Linked DNA regions of Arabidopsis thaliana. The protein of the gene in region 1 interacts with the protein of each later gene in a pairwise test. Each region holds a gene or a part of one and is shown on either strand. Other genes may lie near its edges. The genes, in order: UCL1 and CLF.

Region 1 (7,241 bases):
GCCACTCCTATCCCCCAGATTATCATAGAGCCATTCAAACAGAGATTTCGAAAAGAAACCCTGCTGCCTCCTTTGCGGCACAACTCTGACCCAAATCCCCAATTGAGCTGGACAGTCCCTAAGCACGTGGAGCATAGATTCAACTCCACCTTTACAAACCTGACACACATTCGAGGCGCTAAGATGTCTCCGATGTCGTTCCTCTTCTGTCATAACAGCTTGATTACCCACTAACCATAGAAACGTCTTAACTCTTTCTGGCACTCTAACCTTCCATAAACAGTTAAAGAAGCTTGCCATGTTTGGTCTTGGAACCTCATCCACCGTTAACATCTCATAAGCAGACCGCACTGAGAATTGTCCATCCTGGCTAAACTTCCAAGACAATCTGTCTCTAGCTCCCGTAACTAGATCCAGCACCACCGCACGCAACTCCAGCCGTGTGTTATTCGTAGTATAAGGGTCAATCTTCGCAAAATCCCAACCCCGACCAGGTATCCACAGATCTTTGGCTACCACTGTGTCGCAATCTGTAGGTCTCTCACCATTGTCAAGCTCTAACAACGGTTTACCCGACACCCACCTATCAGTCCAAAACCTTATTTGTTGACCGTCACCAGGAATCCAACCAACTCCATGCGATACCACATCTCTTAGACCAATTGCAATACTTCTCCAAGTGCTAGACCAACTCCCTTTAGGAATCAACCAACGTGAATCCCTAATTTCACCAACGTGGTATTTCTTCTGCAAAACTAAGGTCCAGAGGCTATTCTTCTCTTGGAGCAACCTCCAACCCACTTTAGAGATAAGTGCTCTATTCATGCTCTTAGCCGCTCTGACTCCTAAACCTCCTTCTTTCTTTGGTGAACACACTTTTGACCACTTTACCAAGTGCTGCTTTTTCTTCTCTGCTGTACTTCCCCATAAGAAGGTCCGGGATAGTTGGTCAAGTCGATTCAGAATAGATTGCGGCAACAGAATTGTACTCATAGAGTGAACCGGCATCGAGGATAAGACTGCTTTCGTGAGTGTTAACCGGCCCGCAAAGCTCAACGTCTTTTCTCTCCAACCAGACATGCGGGATGAAACTCTCTCCAAGATCTCCCCAAAGGTATCTTTATTAATTCTCTTTTGAAGAACAGGCATTCCAAGATACTTCCCCAATCACAGGTTGATTGTATCCCACTCTCATCACTTATCAATTTGCCTAACTCTCTGGAGACATTCTTAGAGAAGAAGATTTTGGACTTCTCAAGGCTAACTTTTTGACCCGAGGCAGTACAGAACGCTTCCAACACTCTCCTTACGATCTGTACTTGCTCTACTGAAGCTTCTGCGAATAAAATCAGATCATCTGCAAAGCAAATATGTGAGAGCTTCGGCCCCCCACGCGACAAATTAATCGGTTTCCATTGCTTAGCATTGATGGATCTTTCAATTAAATGACAGAGTCTCTCCATGCACAGCACAAACAAATACGGGGACAAAAGATCACCCTGTCTCAGACCTCGCAATGGCTTGAAAGGTGTAGTCTTCTCACCATTCCATAGCAAGCTCATATCCGGGCCTGAAACACACTGCATTATCCAAGTCACCCAGACCTCAGAAAACCCTGCTGCGACAAGCGTATCTGACAAAAAATCCCACCTTATTCTGTCATAGGCCTTCTCTAAATCCAGCTTTAGAAGCATCCAACCCTTACTCCCTTTCTTTCTTCTCATAGAGTGAACCTAAATGCAAGATATTAGTGCTAAATTGCTTTAAAAATAATAATTTAAATTCAATTGGATTTTATACCATAAATGGTTTTCATGGTTCATCATTGTGGGATAGATGCATGTTTTGGCCTGGACTTGAAAATTTGTAGCATTACAAAATATTCTCTCCATTTCTAGATGAAAGATTTTGGGTTGACTTCCCTAAACACCAAATATAGTGTTTATTGTTTATACTTACTTTTTTGTGGTATGGATATCTTTGAAGCATTAATATATAATTTATTATCAGAATTAACTTGATTTACAGATTGTATTAGATTAGGGATTTGATATTTCAGAGATTTATTAGGTTGTTATGTATTCTTTTAAAAACAAAAAAGAAAAGAAAAGAAAAGTAAATCTCATCAGTTTTAGTTTTAATTTTAAGAAATACAAGCCGAAATGGAAATATAAGAAAGGAGAGATATATCCAATTGAGATTGAAGGGATAACTTTTGACTAGAAATTTATTTAAAATAACTACTTTCAAGTTTTATTTACTCAGTGGCAAAAAGCCGAAATTAGTAAAAAGCAATATCTTCTATGTACGCACATCGGTATATGTTACATTATTTTTGGTAGATTGTACGAGATTTTTCTCCTACATTTTATTTAATAACGAAATATAAATTTTATTCAAACATTATGTGGGATCGATATCTCACTAACATCCTCTATCATAACCAGATAAACTTCCTCCAAACATACATTAAATAACTGAAAACCAAGCAATAGAGTAAACACATAGTAAACTAACTTGGCGATCAACCTTCATATACACATGAGTAATCTGGACTATCTAGTCTCTTGAGATAAAGTCATGACACAAGCGTATCAGGGTTGTTAGCGTAAAAATATCCCTAATATCTAACTATATTAAACCAACAACCAACGCCGAATCCATCTCCAACACCACCCTTCTAAATATTTTCTCCCAAGCTACAACAAGCCATTAATACACAGCCCACAATTCCGCTAATAGGCTGAGCAAACACCAATATTAAAAACAAAACTACCTAACCACGTCCCATACTCATCACGGATCACACCTCCCGCTGTTGCCTTCCCCGGGTTTCCATGCGAGGCTCCGTCGGTATTGATTGTAACCCATCCCTCACTTGGTTTCCCAAACAGTCGGTTTCAAGGTTATAAGTTCGAAGAGGAATTAGGTGAAACGATAGAGGTTAATTCCTTGGGAGACAAGGCATTTTTGATTCTACTGTTACTTGTTTCTCAGTTTTGGCTTTATGGATGATGTAAAACTCTATTTACTTCACAGATGACGAGAGAGAGATTAAGGTGTTCGAGCTAGACAATGGCATGGAAGTAATATCGCAACAATGTCAGGATTTTCTCAGAGTTCTTTCCAAATGTTTTATCCTAGATTTCTCTGAAATTTGTTTTAGGTCAAAGCTGCTTTCTTTATAATTGTGAGTACCAATCATCTTTAATAAAAAAGCTTACGTTTCAGCTTCATTTTCGGTATAGACACACACAGCAACTACAATATCTTCATCTTTGGTATCATAACAGAAGTGTAGAAAACATTAAATCAAGTCACGTCCGCAAAAGTTTACTACTCTCTCTGTTTTGGAATGATTGATTTTATGAGTTTTCACATATATTAAAAAAATTAATTAATATTTAAATATAAATATTATTTTTGGTATTAATTTGTTTCTTTATTACTTTAAACCAATAGTAATTTTATACAATAAATTATTTACAATCAATATTTTTTAAAAGTTTATGATTCGTCATAATTAATTAATAAAAAAGGCATGGTAAAGCAAAAAATAAATCTCTTAAGAAACAAGGAAAAAGACATCGAAATTATTTGGTTGACTTCACTAGACCCAGGCTACTTTCAAGTCAATAAGAGACATTTGTTAGTTATAAGACATATCTCTTAACATAAGAATTGTGTTAAGAGACCATCAATAAGGATGCTCTAATAATCTTCCTTTCACTGCGTTACAAACGTTTGCTATGGATTTGTTCTCTTATCGCAAAAACAATACACGATTTGTGCCAAGGCCACATTTTATGTAATAATTTTGGGTGCCACACTAATCAATAATTTTCTGTTAGTTGGTCAAATTGTCATTCTAAAAGTCATTTTTACAAAGGCTTTAACCCTAAAATTTGTAACATTTATTATTCATTTTTGATTTGTTGTGTCTTAGTCTCATATATTTGTTGGGCTTTTGTTTTTGTTTATTTAGAATATATAATCAATCACCTATGAAACATAATTAAATCTTTTTGCCTAAGTACAAACACTATTTGGGGTCCCTGTTTTGGTGTAGTTTAGGGAAGTCAACCCAAAATATTTTTGTCTACAAATGGAGAGAGTATTTACTCTTTAAGTACTGCTATTAAATTTCAATTCAACAAATGATGAACCATGAAAATCATTAATGGTATAAAATCGAATAGAATATGAATTAATATTCTTTAGCAAATTAGAACTCATATTTTTCATTTAGGTTCAATGTATTCATTCTTATTTATGGGAATGAGTGAATTTTGATTTTATATTTTATTGTTTCTTTAAAAGTTAAAAACACAACCATTTGGAACCTAAAATGTTAGGACTTTTAGGTAAGTATACGTAGTATATATATATTATGTGACTCACAAATCACAAACAATCAAAGTAGCAAAATGGTAGATTGGTCTACCTTACCGGAGGAGCTCCTCCATTTTATCGCCGCCCGATCGTTCTCCCTAGTTGAATACAAGCGTTTCAGCAGCATCTGTGTATCATGGCACTCCTCTGTCTCCGGCGTGAAGAAGAATCCTTTCCATAGGCGCCCTCTCATTGACTTCAACCCCATCGCCCCAAGTGAGACCCTTCTAGAGGACCATGTCTTCAGCTGCAACCCCGGCGCGTTCCTCTCACGTGCAGCCTTCTTCCGAGTCACTCTCTCCTCCTCTCCGAGTAAGGGCTGGATAATCAAATCCGACATGGACACCAACTCCGGGAGATTCCATCTCCTCAACCCTCTCTCACGTTTTCCATTGCGTATTTCTTCCGAGAGCCTTGATCTTTTGGATTTCACTGTCTCCGAGATTCAAGAATCTTATGCGGTTCTTAAGGACGCCAAGGGAAGACTACCGAATCCAGGATACCAAAGAAGTGCTCTTGTCAAAGTGAAGGAAGGAGATGATCATCATCATGGAATTCTCGGAATCGGTAGGGATGGAACAATCAACTACTGGAATGGAAATGTCTTGAACGGATTCAAACAAATGGGTCATCACTTCTCCGACATTATAGTTCACAAAGGAGTAACTTACGTCTTGGATTCAAAAGGCATCGTTTGGTGCATTAATTCCGATCTTGAAATGTCAAGGTACGAAACTTCACTCGATGAAAACATGACTAATGGCTGTAGGAGATATTACATGAGATTTGTGGATTGCTGTGGAGAGCTTTACGTTATCAAACGCCTCCCCAAAGAGAATTCTCGAAAGAGAAAATCGACCTTATTTCAATTTTCAAGAACGGCTGGTTTCAAGGTTTACAAGATAGATAAGGAATTAGCCAAATGGGTAGAAGTTAAGACCTTGGGAGACAATGCATTTGTGATGGCTACCGATACTTGTTTCTCGGTTTTGGCTCATGAGTATTACGGATGCCTCCCAAACTCTATTTACTTCATTGAGGATTTAGAGCCTAAGGTGTTCCAGCTAGACAATGGTAATGGAAGTAGTATCACCAGAAAGTCGGAATCTTCCGAGAGTTCCTTCGAAATGTTTTTTCCTAGCTTTCTTTGAATCTTGTGTAGGTTAAACCTACTTTCTTTATAATTAAGAGTACCAATCATCTCTAATAAAATAATTACTTTTCATCTTTATAGACAAAGCAATGCAACGTAACTAAAATATCTTCATTTTCCGGTATCATGATGAAGCATAGATATGCCTTAGTTAGTACTGCGTCAGAAGATTGACGTGCACAGTAACAAGATATTTTTATCAAAATTTCTCACAAAAATATCTCGTAACAAATTTGTAATAAACGATTGCTAATATTTCTTACAGATTAGGATGTAGCTGAACTATATTTATTTTCTTAAAAATATCTTTTTGTGACTAATTTTTATTTGTAGCAAAATATACAAACTGTGACAAACCAAAAAAAATGGCTACAAATATTTGTCGCAACATAAACTATATGACTCTAAACATTGCGAAAGGTCAAAGTCTGCATTTTGCTGTAATGTCCAATAACACTTACTGATACAGTGTTTTGGTGGCAAAGTGAGACATTAATAAATAATTTAAATTTCAATGTTTGTAGCAAGATCTCTCAAGCAAGTAAGAGATCTCATAGTAAGTTAATCCTAACCATATGTGTGCACTTTATAATCAGGATATATTTTAGCACTAAATGTTTTTTATTTAACTTGTAGAGACAACGAGAAAGAATTGAGTCTTCCATGTTGCTTGTATTGAGAAAGACTCATCGTAGACGTGATGAAATTTATGTGGATAGAAGGGCACAAATATTTAATGTAGAAATTCAAAGGCAGATAGGTCACAAGCTTCTAATGGGACAACCAGTGAATGCTCATAGGTCACACAACTTGATGAGGATGAAATGTATGTTCTATGGTTTCTATAAACGGTCAAGAGTTATGTTTTCTTGTGTTCTTTGAATGAACTTGGGTATACTTATAAAGGAATGAACTTGGGTAGATACTTAGTATGAGAATCATTTGTTTTCAATACTGATTTTCTTTGTCTCCTATTTTATATCCCAATTAGTTAAGTTTATGAATACATATTGTAATTAAATGAAAGTTTATGAAAATGTATTGTAAATTGTCTGTTTTTTGCATTACGTATCGGCTAAGAAAATGAAGGATCTTTGGTTTTGAAGAACATCATTCGATGTATGAGCAAAGAGAAAAACTATGTTGATGTAATATTTAAAATTTCCTTAGAACGAAAAGTTTCTACCTTGCAGCAGTAGCTGGCCACTTTGGTCGAGTACATGAACCAGTATATGCCGGAAGTAGCAACTACCAACTTCCGCTCTGCTCAGCCCACACAAGGCGCATAAACTTATATATCTGGCCACTTGCTTCAACAACAATGCTGACAATTCTACCAAAAAGTTAGAGTTGGATCTAATGATCTTCATTGGCTGAAGTCACATCCATCATTCCGAACCGAACCAAGTCTGCAATGAGAACAACCAGCAAGATAACAATGATAATGAAGACAATACTGGTGCCATTTCGTGATGAAAATTCTCTGATGGACAACCTCTTTTCTTTCTTATCAATTCGGACTTTATTTAGCTTAAAGAAAGCTAATCAAACTGGTAAATGTGTTCATAAGCTTTCAAAACTTTGTTGAATATTTGCTTTTGGGTTTGATTTTTAGGGTTGAATGTTTGACACAACGTATGATATTAATATGAAAAAATCTATTAATTTTGGTATCAACTATTTGGTACACGATTTA
Region 2 (7,327 bases), on another chromosome or scaffold:
GGCTTCTGCTTTACTTTCAGAGTTGGACAATTTCAAGAACAAGAAGGAAATGGGCACGAGTTTGGTTGGAACCCCTAAAGCTGCAGAGATGAAACTAATGGATGATTTTGCTGAAATGGAGAAGCTTGCAATGGTTGCTAGTACAATCGATAACCGACCTGGAAGTTCTCCTATTTGTTCTTCTGATTCTATTTCAGCTACTGGTCCGGTAGAGAACGAATCTAATGAGAATTCATCAGAAGCAACTAAAACTTCTGGAACAGTTTATTCATTGAATCCTGATGCATCTCCCAAAGATGATATCAAGTCAGATTCGTTACCTCAATCTCTTCATATAGTCTTGAAAGCGGTAATGGAGCATAAGCATATCACGCAGAGAAACACTGATGAAGTACTTGAAGATATCAGAAAAGCTCTGTCAAGTGTAAACCATTCAAGCTTTTCTACAAACCATCAGGAGACTAAGACTCTTACTGTGGAGGATAGACTGGATATGGAGTGTAATATCAGCAAATCAATTCACAGAATCATTGACGTTATCGAGGGAGTCAGTCTTAAAGATGAGAGGCATGTGTCCAACAGAGAATCAGAAAGGCTTTCAGGTTACACTGCTCGCGTCTTGCAATGGAAAACTACAGAGCTAAGTAGTGTATTGCAGCGATTTCTTCAAGCTTGTTACGATCTATTAGACAGAAAAGCAGACATGAAGAAGTTTGCTCAAGAGCTAAGCTCTGTGTTGGAATGGATGGTGAACCACTGTTTTTCTCTTCAAGATGTTTCAACCATGAGAGATGAGATTAAGAAGCAGTTCGAGTGGGATGAATCACGGAGCGGAAGCGAAGTTGATATTGGAATATTTCGTCAGGTTTCAGAAGCAGAGAAGCTTAGAACGGAAGATGTTTCCTTTTTGGCTTGCAAAGATCAGTTGATTGAAGACAAACCTGGTAATCAAAACTTGTCGCGCAAAACGGTTGAAGAAGAGGCAAATGACAAAACAGCGAGGTAAATATGAATGCTTAAAGACTTCATGTCAGCAAAATCATACATTTTATCTCTGATGCATCCAATGGTTTTCTTGTTGCAGTGCTTCAGAGAACGAGCTCAAGCTGGAGGAAAAACAAAACATGCGAACCGTAAGTTACAAGCAGAAGAAAATCGATACCATTACATTGAGAGTTGTTTTTGTCCAAGACCAATCTGTTTTATGTGTTTGATGATTCAGGAATTGGAAATCGCTGCTGCTTCAGAAAAGTTGGCCGAGTGTCAAGAGACGATTCTAAACCTGGGAAAGCAGCTCAAGGCATTGACTAACTCAAAGGAAACAGCTTTACTTTCAGAAACACTCATGTACGACGTTACAGACAAATCGAACAACCTACCTGATGCACAACCTTCACATGAGACTACTAAACCAGAGAAGAGATTGACCAGCCAGAGATCATCTCTTTTGGATCAGATGAAGGCAGAAGATCACAACACCGGGGAATCCAAGGATCAGAAACCGCAAGCAGCAGATAAAAACGGAAAGGGAGGAAACAGCTCTGTTTACAATGAAACCATTGAGGCACTAGAACAGATTCTTCTCTCAGACAAAAGCAAAGGCTCCGACTCAAACTGCTTTGCCATTGTTCCTCAGAAAAAGACCGGCGGAGTTAAGAGCCTCTGGAGAAAGCTGTTGGGGAGAAATAAGAAAGGTAAGAGCAAGAAGGTCCCTAATCCATTTGCCAACTAAGAAGATGGTGGCATCTGTCATCTAGACTATAATCTAATACCTTAATCCTGTTTCTTTATATGGTCCCAAAGACCCAAACTATGCAAACTAAACTGTCATTTTCTAGATTTTTTTGGCAGTATATATATAATCTCCACGTAGAGTATTACTCTATAAGATGATCATTCTGCTTTATTCCACTTTTAGTCTCAGAAAGGATACAATCAGTAATCTTGACCCAATGAATCTTTAGCAGGGTTAATGTAAATCTTCAACGTAGACACTAAATGCATAAGATCATTTGATATAATGTCATCTCAGGTCTCAAAAGAACAAATTGTGGCCTTTAAAAGAGACTTCTCAATCTCTGTACAGAACAAACTTGGCGATGTCGTTAAGTCCAGCTTCCTTGTAGCACTGAGCAACCCGTTCCAGTGATTCGTCCCATGTCCCTTCAAGTGACGCTAGATTCAGTAAGAACGCAGCCTCGTCCAAAGATGCCTGAGAATTACAAGTTTTGTTTCAAGCCTTTGTATCCATAAGCATGATATGAGTATCTGATAATGAATACAGGCAAAGAACAAACCTGAGCCATTGGCTTTCCCCTGTCTATATCCCGTTGTTTTCCTTCTCCTGTAACTCTCTCCTTATACTGCGCAATTTGCTCTTCTCCCCACTCTGCTATTTGAGCAATTTCCTGGGAACCCGTTTCATATGTTCAACACTTTTTTCCCTTCTCTTTTCGATTACCAAAATTGCTTGTCGATAGTCAAGGAATTGTACCTCATATCTGCATCCTAAGGTCCACCACGAAGATTTCAAAGCACCCCTAGCTGCGTCTTTCGCTTCTAAGTTACGCCCAAGTCTACAAAATATATAGAGGTCTTAGAGTTTTCTAGAAAGGACGTAAGCATTTACCTGGGGGTCGTTCACAAGGGAGAAAGAGGGATGATGAGAAAGGATCATACGAACTTCAGTAAAACTTTTGCGTTGAAAGCGAATGGCCGGGCAAATCCGGGAAAGTTCCCTCTCTTTGTATAAAACTCGGTAGCCACCAAAGCTGAAACCTTGTATTAGCACGTGAAGATAGTTTAAAAAGAGAAAACACGTCAACTACAACAGGATAGATATAATTACTAGCCTTACATGGTCTCCATTCTCGATATGCCGAATAACTTTTCGTTCAAGAGAATCTGGAAACAATCCAACCTGAATTACAAAGCTAATAATCATATCCCAGTATCCATGTGCAGAAAAGATTCTGATATTAACAGGCTCAATATATGTACCTTTCTTAAAAGATAGGCATCTAAATCCATCAGTCTTGAACTGGCAAAGTCACCCTTACTGTAAAGTTTCTTCCCAGCTTCACCAGCAGCATTGAAGATTTCTTGGCTGCATTCTTCGGGTTTGGAAACATCTTCTTCCACCAATATTCTGTGAATGAACTGATCAACCTGAATGTTGGCCAATGAAGTCAGATATGAGAATGAACACTCAACAAAAATAACCCTAAATTAACGCATCAGTAATGCTATAAAAAGACTCATTACATTATTAGCTAGAAACCAAACCCCATGTTTCTGAACTTCCACCACAGGCATCTCCATACTGCAAACACCACAAACAATGATAAGCTACAAAAGAAGAGAAACATGACGATATTAAAAAAGCAAGGAGGATCTAACCTAGAAGGAGCTGTTGGCCACCGTAATAGAGCAATTGAAGAACCTGAAAAAGGAAAGTCATACAAACTTAATATGAAAGTGTTACAACCTCAGATAAGAACTTATGTACAAGTCCAGAATCATACCCGGGCTCATTTTCACCAACGGAATAGTAAGAGGTAACAAGCCTTGCTTGGCACCAGGAGAAACTATGGATTTACCTGATCCAATGTCATTACCACAAGCAAAAGTCACCATTCCGCAAGTTAACAAACAAAAACTTCGAAAATACGATCAGCAAGTCAGTGTAAGATTGATTTACCTCTAGCTGTGAATATATTCAGCAGCTGCATCAGATGCTTAGGAGGCTGAGCTTTTGCTATATCCTTAATGAAACATTCATGTTCTGCACATAATCAATCGTTAACTTCGATTCACTGATTGTTCAAATTCGGCACCGTAAGAATCATAAACCAATCTCAAGCCATCGCACAGCTTCCAGAAGTTGCAAATGAAATAGCGAAGATGTGAATCCCTCTCACCAGATAGTGAAGAAGAAGAGCAAAAGGATCTGGCGAAGTTTCTGCTGCCATGGAGAAGTATCAGTCTACGTTTCCGTCCGAAAACCGCCGCGCCGCGATGCATCTCAGAGTTTTCCGATCGCCGTACTGTTTCTCGTCCGATGAGATTACAGAGAGACTTCGAAAAGCTGTTGCTGAAAAAAAAAACAAAAAATAAAGCCCAAACAAATAGGGTTTAAGAGCCCATTAAATCAGAGCCCAGCAACGTTCGTGTTTGTTTTGTTCAGTTGATATAGAACCAGTCTCGAACTCTAGTAGATTCGTTGTCTCGAGCTACGTGATATTCCGGTAAACCGTCGCCGGAGATGTACAGTAGATAATTCAAATCGAGCTGCCACGTCGCTATTTTCCCACCAACTTTTTTTTTTTTAAATAATTGGAAAAAGTTTCTAATTTACACGCTTCCCAATTCGTAAACAATGTTCTTTAAAAGTAAAACGAAATTTTTTTTGGATTTGAAGATAAAAGATCCAAAATAAAAACAAAATTGAAGATAAATTTTTAGGGTTTATAACGACCCGCCAAATTCCTTCTCTCCTCCAACATTTCAGATTTCGCGACCCGGATCTTAACCCGGACCCGCATTTGTTTCGGTTCCGATCTGGTTTCTTGACAATGGCGTCAGAAGCTTCGCCTTCTTCTTCGGCCACCAGATCGGAGCCACCCAAAGACTCTCCGGTGCGTCAATCGTTTTTTTTTTTTTTCTTACTTTCTAAAAATGGAACTTTTTTCTTTGTGCTATTGAGGCATTGACTTTGATTTGCTTTAGTTTGAGTGAAGAGAACGAAACTCGATGGCTTGTTTGAGCTTCTCTATATGCTCGTTTTTAGATCTAGAGATTGCTGGATTGTGAGATATGAAGTTGTTTTTGGGTTCGTTTAGGAACCATTTTTGCTGCAATTGATAGTTTCTCTCATTGAACACTGTGTAAAGGAACCTCATTTTGATGTTTCAGGCGGAGGAGAGAGGTCCAGCTTCTAAGGAAGTATCAGAAGTAATAGAATCGCTAAAGAAGAAGCTTGCAGCTGATAGGTGTATATCAATAAAGGTTGCTATTTTTGTTTAGTTTTTTTTTTGTATGTTTTATGTGTTTCTGAATCTGATTGTTAGAAATTGATGTGTTTGTAACCAGAAAAGGATTGATGAAAACAAGAAGAATTTGTTTGCTATTACTCAAAGTTTTATGAGGTCTTCTATGGAACGAGGAGGTAGCTGTAAAGATGGCAGTGATCTTTTAGTTAAGAGGCAAAGAGATTCGCCAGGTATGAAAAGCGGAATCGATGAAAGTAATAACAACAGATATGTAGAAGATGGACCTGCCAGTTCAGGAATGGTTCAAGGATCTAGTGTCCCTGTCAAAATTTCCTTACGTCCTATCAAAATGCCTGATATCAAACGTTTGTCACCTTATACCACATGGGTTTTTCTGGACAGGTATGTTGACATTAATGTCGCAAGAGTACTTGAAAATATTCAAGTTGAAATGTAAGCCCCTCGCATAGTATCTTAACGTTATAATCACTCTTGAAATGATGCAGAAATCAAAGAATGACTGAAGACCAGTCTGTAGTGGGTCGAAGGAGAATTTATTATGATCAAACTGGCGGGGAAGCGCTTATCTGCAGTGATAGTGAAGAGGAGGCCATTGACGACGAAGAAGAAAAAAGAGATTTTTTGGAGCCTGAAGATTATATTATTCGGTTAGTATTAAATGGCAGGAGTTTAATCATTCTTGCATTTTGGTCTCTTAGTGTGAATCTCTTGTCTGCTATGTCAACTGTTATGCTGGTTTGTTCTCACTTATATTGTTGGATTAAATTTCCCTTCGTTTCTTCAGCATGACCCTTGAGCAACTAGGTCTTTCAGACTCAGTCCTGGCGGAACTAGCAAGTTTCTTGTCTAGAAGTACTAGTGAAATCAAGGTATCAACAACTTTTTTCTCTGCCTATTGCTTGTGTGAACTATCATGTGCTATTTTCTTTAGAATCAAGCACTTCAGTTGTAGGATTTCAAAACAGAGTGAGGGATGCATTGTTTAAGGAAATCCAATTAGTATTGTTCCAGCCCTTTCCCAATTGGCTTTTTGCAGAGATATGAACACCGACCATCTTATACAGGCAAGACATGGAGTGCTTATGAAGGAAAAAGAAGTATCCGAGAGTGGCGATAATCAAGCAGAGAGCTCCCTTCTCAACAAAGATATGGAAGGAGCATTAGATTCTTTCGATAACCTGTTCTGCCGTAGATGCCTTGTTAGTCCATTTGATTTTCTCAGGCTAATGTTTCATGGGTTATTGCTTAATGATCGAGCAAACATTGGTCTCTTTTTAACTTTTGTATGCATCTATGCAGGTATTTGATTGCCGGCTTCATGGGTGTTCACAGGATCTCATTTTTCCGGTGAGTTTAGTGCCAACCGAAAAAATCTTACTATAACTTTAGTGTTACTTATCTAATTTTATGGATTTTTAGGCTGAGAAACCAGCTCCATGGTGTCCTCCTGTAGATGAAAATTTAACCTGTGGTGCAAACTGCTATAAAACGGTAAATTTGTTATTTTCTCGTTGCTAAGCTCATCTCCTAGAAAGACTGGTTTAACAAAAAGCGTTGTTTTCAATTTATCAGCTTCTCAAGTCTGGAAGATTTCCGGGATATGGCACCATTGAAGGTAAAACTGGCACTTCATCAGATGGTGCAGGTACTAAAACCACACCCACGAAGTTCTCCAGCAAACTTAATGGGAGAAAACCAAAGACCTTCCCAAGTGAAAGTGCATCGTCTAATGAAAAGTGCGCACTAGAAACAAGTGACTCAGAGAATGGACTACAGCAGGATACCAATTCCGATAAAGTTTCATCATCGCCAAAGGTGAAAGGTAGTGGGAGACGAGTAGGTCGTAAGAGGAACAAAAACCGAGTTGCTGAGCGAGTTCCTCGTAAGACTCAGAAGAGGCAGAAGAAGACAGAAGCCTCGGATAGTGATTCCATCGCCAGTGGAAGTTGTTCACCCAGCGATGCAAAACATAAAGATAATGAAGATGCTACTTCCTCTTCTCAGAAGCATGTAAAATCTGGGAACTCCGGGAAGTCAAGGAAGAATGGCACTCCTGCCGAAGTCTCCAATAATTCTGTGAAGGATGACGTTCCTGTTTGCCAGTCAAATGAGGTTGCGTCAGAGCTTGATGCGCCGGGTAGTGATGAAAGTCTAAGGAAAGAAGAGTTTATGGGTGAAACTGTATCTCGAGGAAGATTGGCTACAAATAAGTTGTGGAGACCACTTGAGAAAAGCCTTTTTGATAAAGGTGTTGAGATTTTTGGAATGAATAGGTGGGTAATTTTGATGTATTTAGCTACTGCTAAATTATCATT

The links.
Region 2: the proteins of UCL1 (region 1) and CLF interact in a two-hybrid assay, tested with the Arabidopsis thaliana proteins (one study listed by BioGRID).

The regions. Positions count from the first base shown.
Region 1 is NC_003070.9:24,450,398-24,457,638, reverse strand, and holds UCL1 (ascorbic acid mannose pathway regulator (DUF295)), read left to right. Parts: upstream 1-4,427; coding exon 4,428-5,543; downstream 5,544-7,241.
Region 2 is NC_003071.7:9,950,996-9,958,322, forward strand, and holds the start of CLF (SET domain-containing protein), read left to right. Parts: upstream 1-4,096; 5' UTR 4,097-4,574; coding exon 4,575-4,637; intron 4,638-4,914; coding exon 4,915-5,007; intron 5,008-5,091; coding exon 5,092-5,393; intron 5,394-5,497; coding exon 5,498-5,659; intron 5,660-5,796; coding exon 5,797-5,881; intron 5,882-6,018; exon of another isoform or gene 6,019-6,052; coding exon of another isoform or gene 6,053-6,076; coding exon 6,077-6,211; intron 6,212-6,311; coding exon 6,312-6,359; intron 6,360-6,431; coding exon 6,432-6,503; intron 6,504-6,584; coding exon 6,585-7,285; intron 7,286-7,327. Other genes in the region: AT2G23360 (filament-like protein (DUF869)), read left to right, coding at 1-1,002, 1,085-1,133, 1,223-1,732; AT2G23370 (cyclin delta-3), read right to left, coding at 2,072-2,212, 2,298-2,408, 2,495-2,576, 2,684-2,778, 2,858-2,920, 3,001-3,168, 3,265-3,322, 3,400-3,442 and 3 more. UniProt on the Arabidopsis thaliana protein: Polycomb group (PcG) protein. Catalytic subunit of some PcG multiprotein complex, which methylates 'Lys-27' of histone H3, leading to transcriptional repression of the affected target genes, mainly abscisic acid (ABA) responsive elements.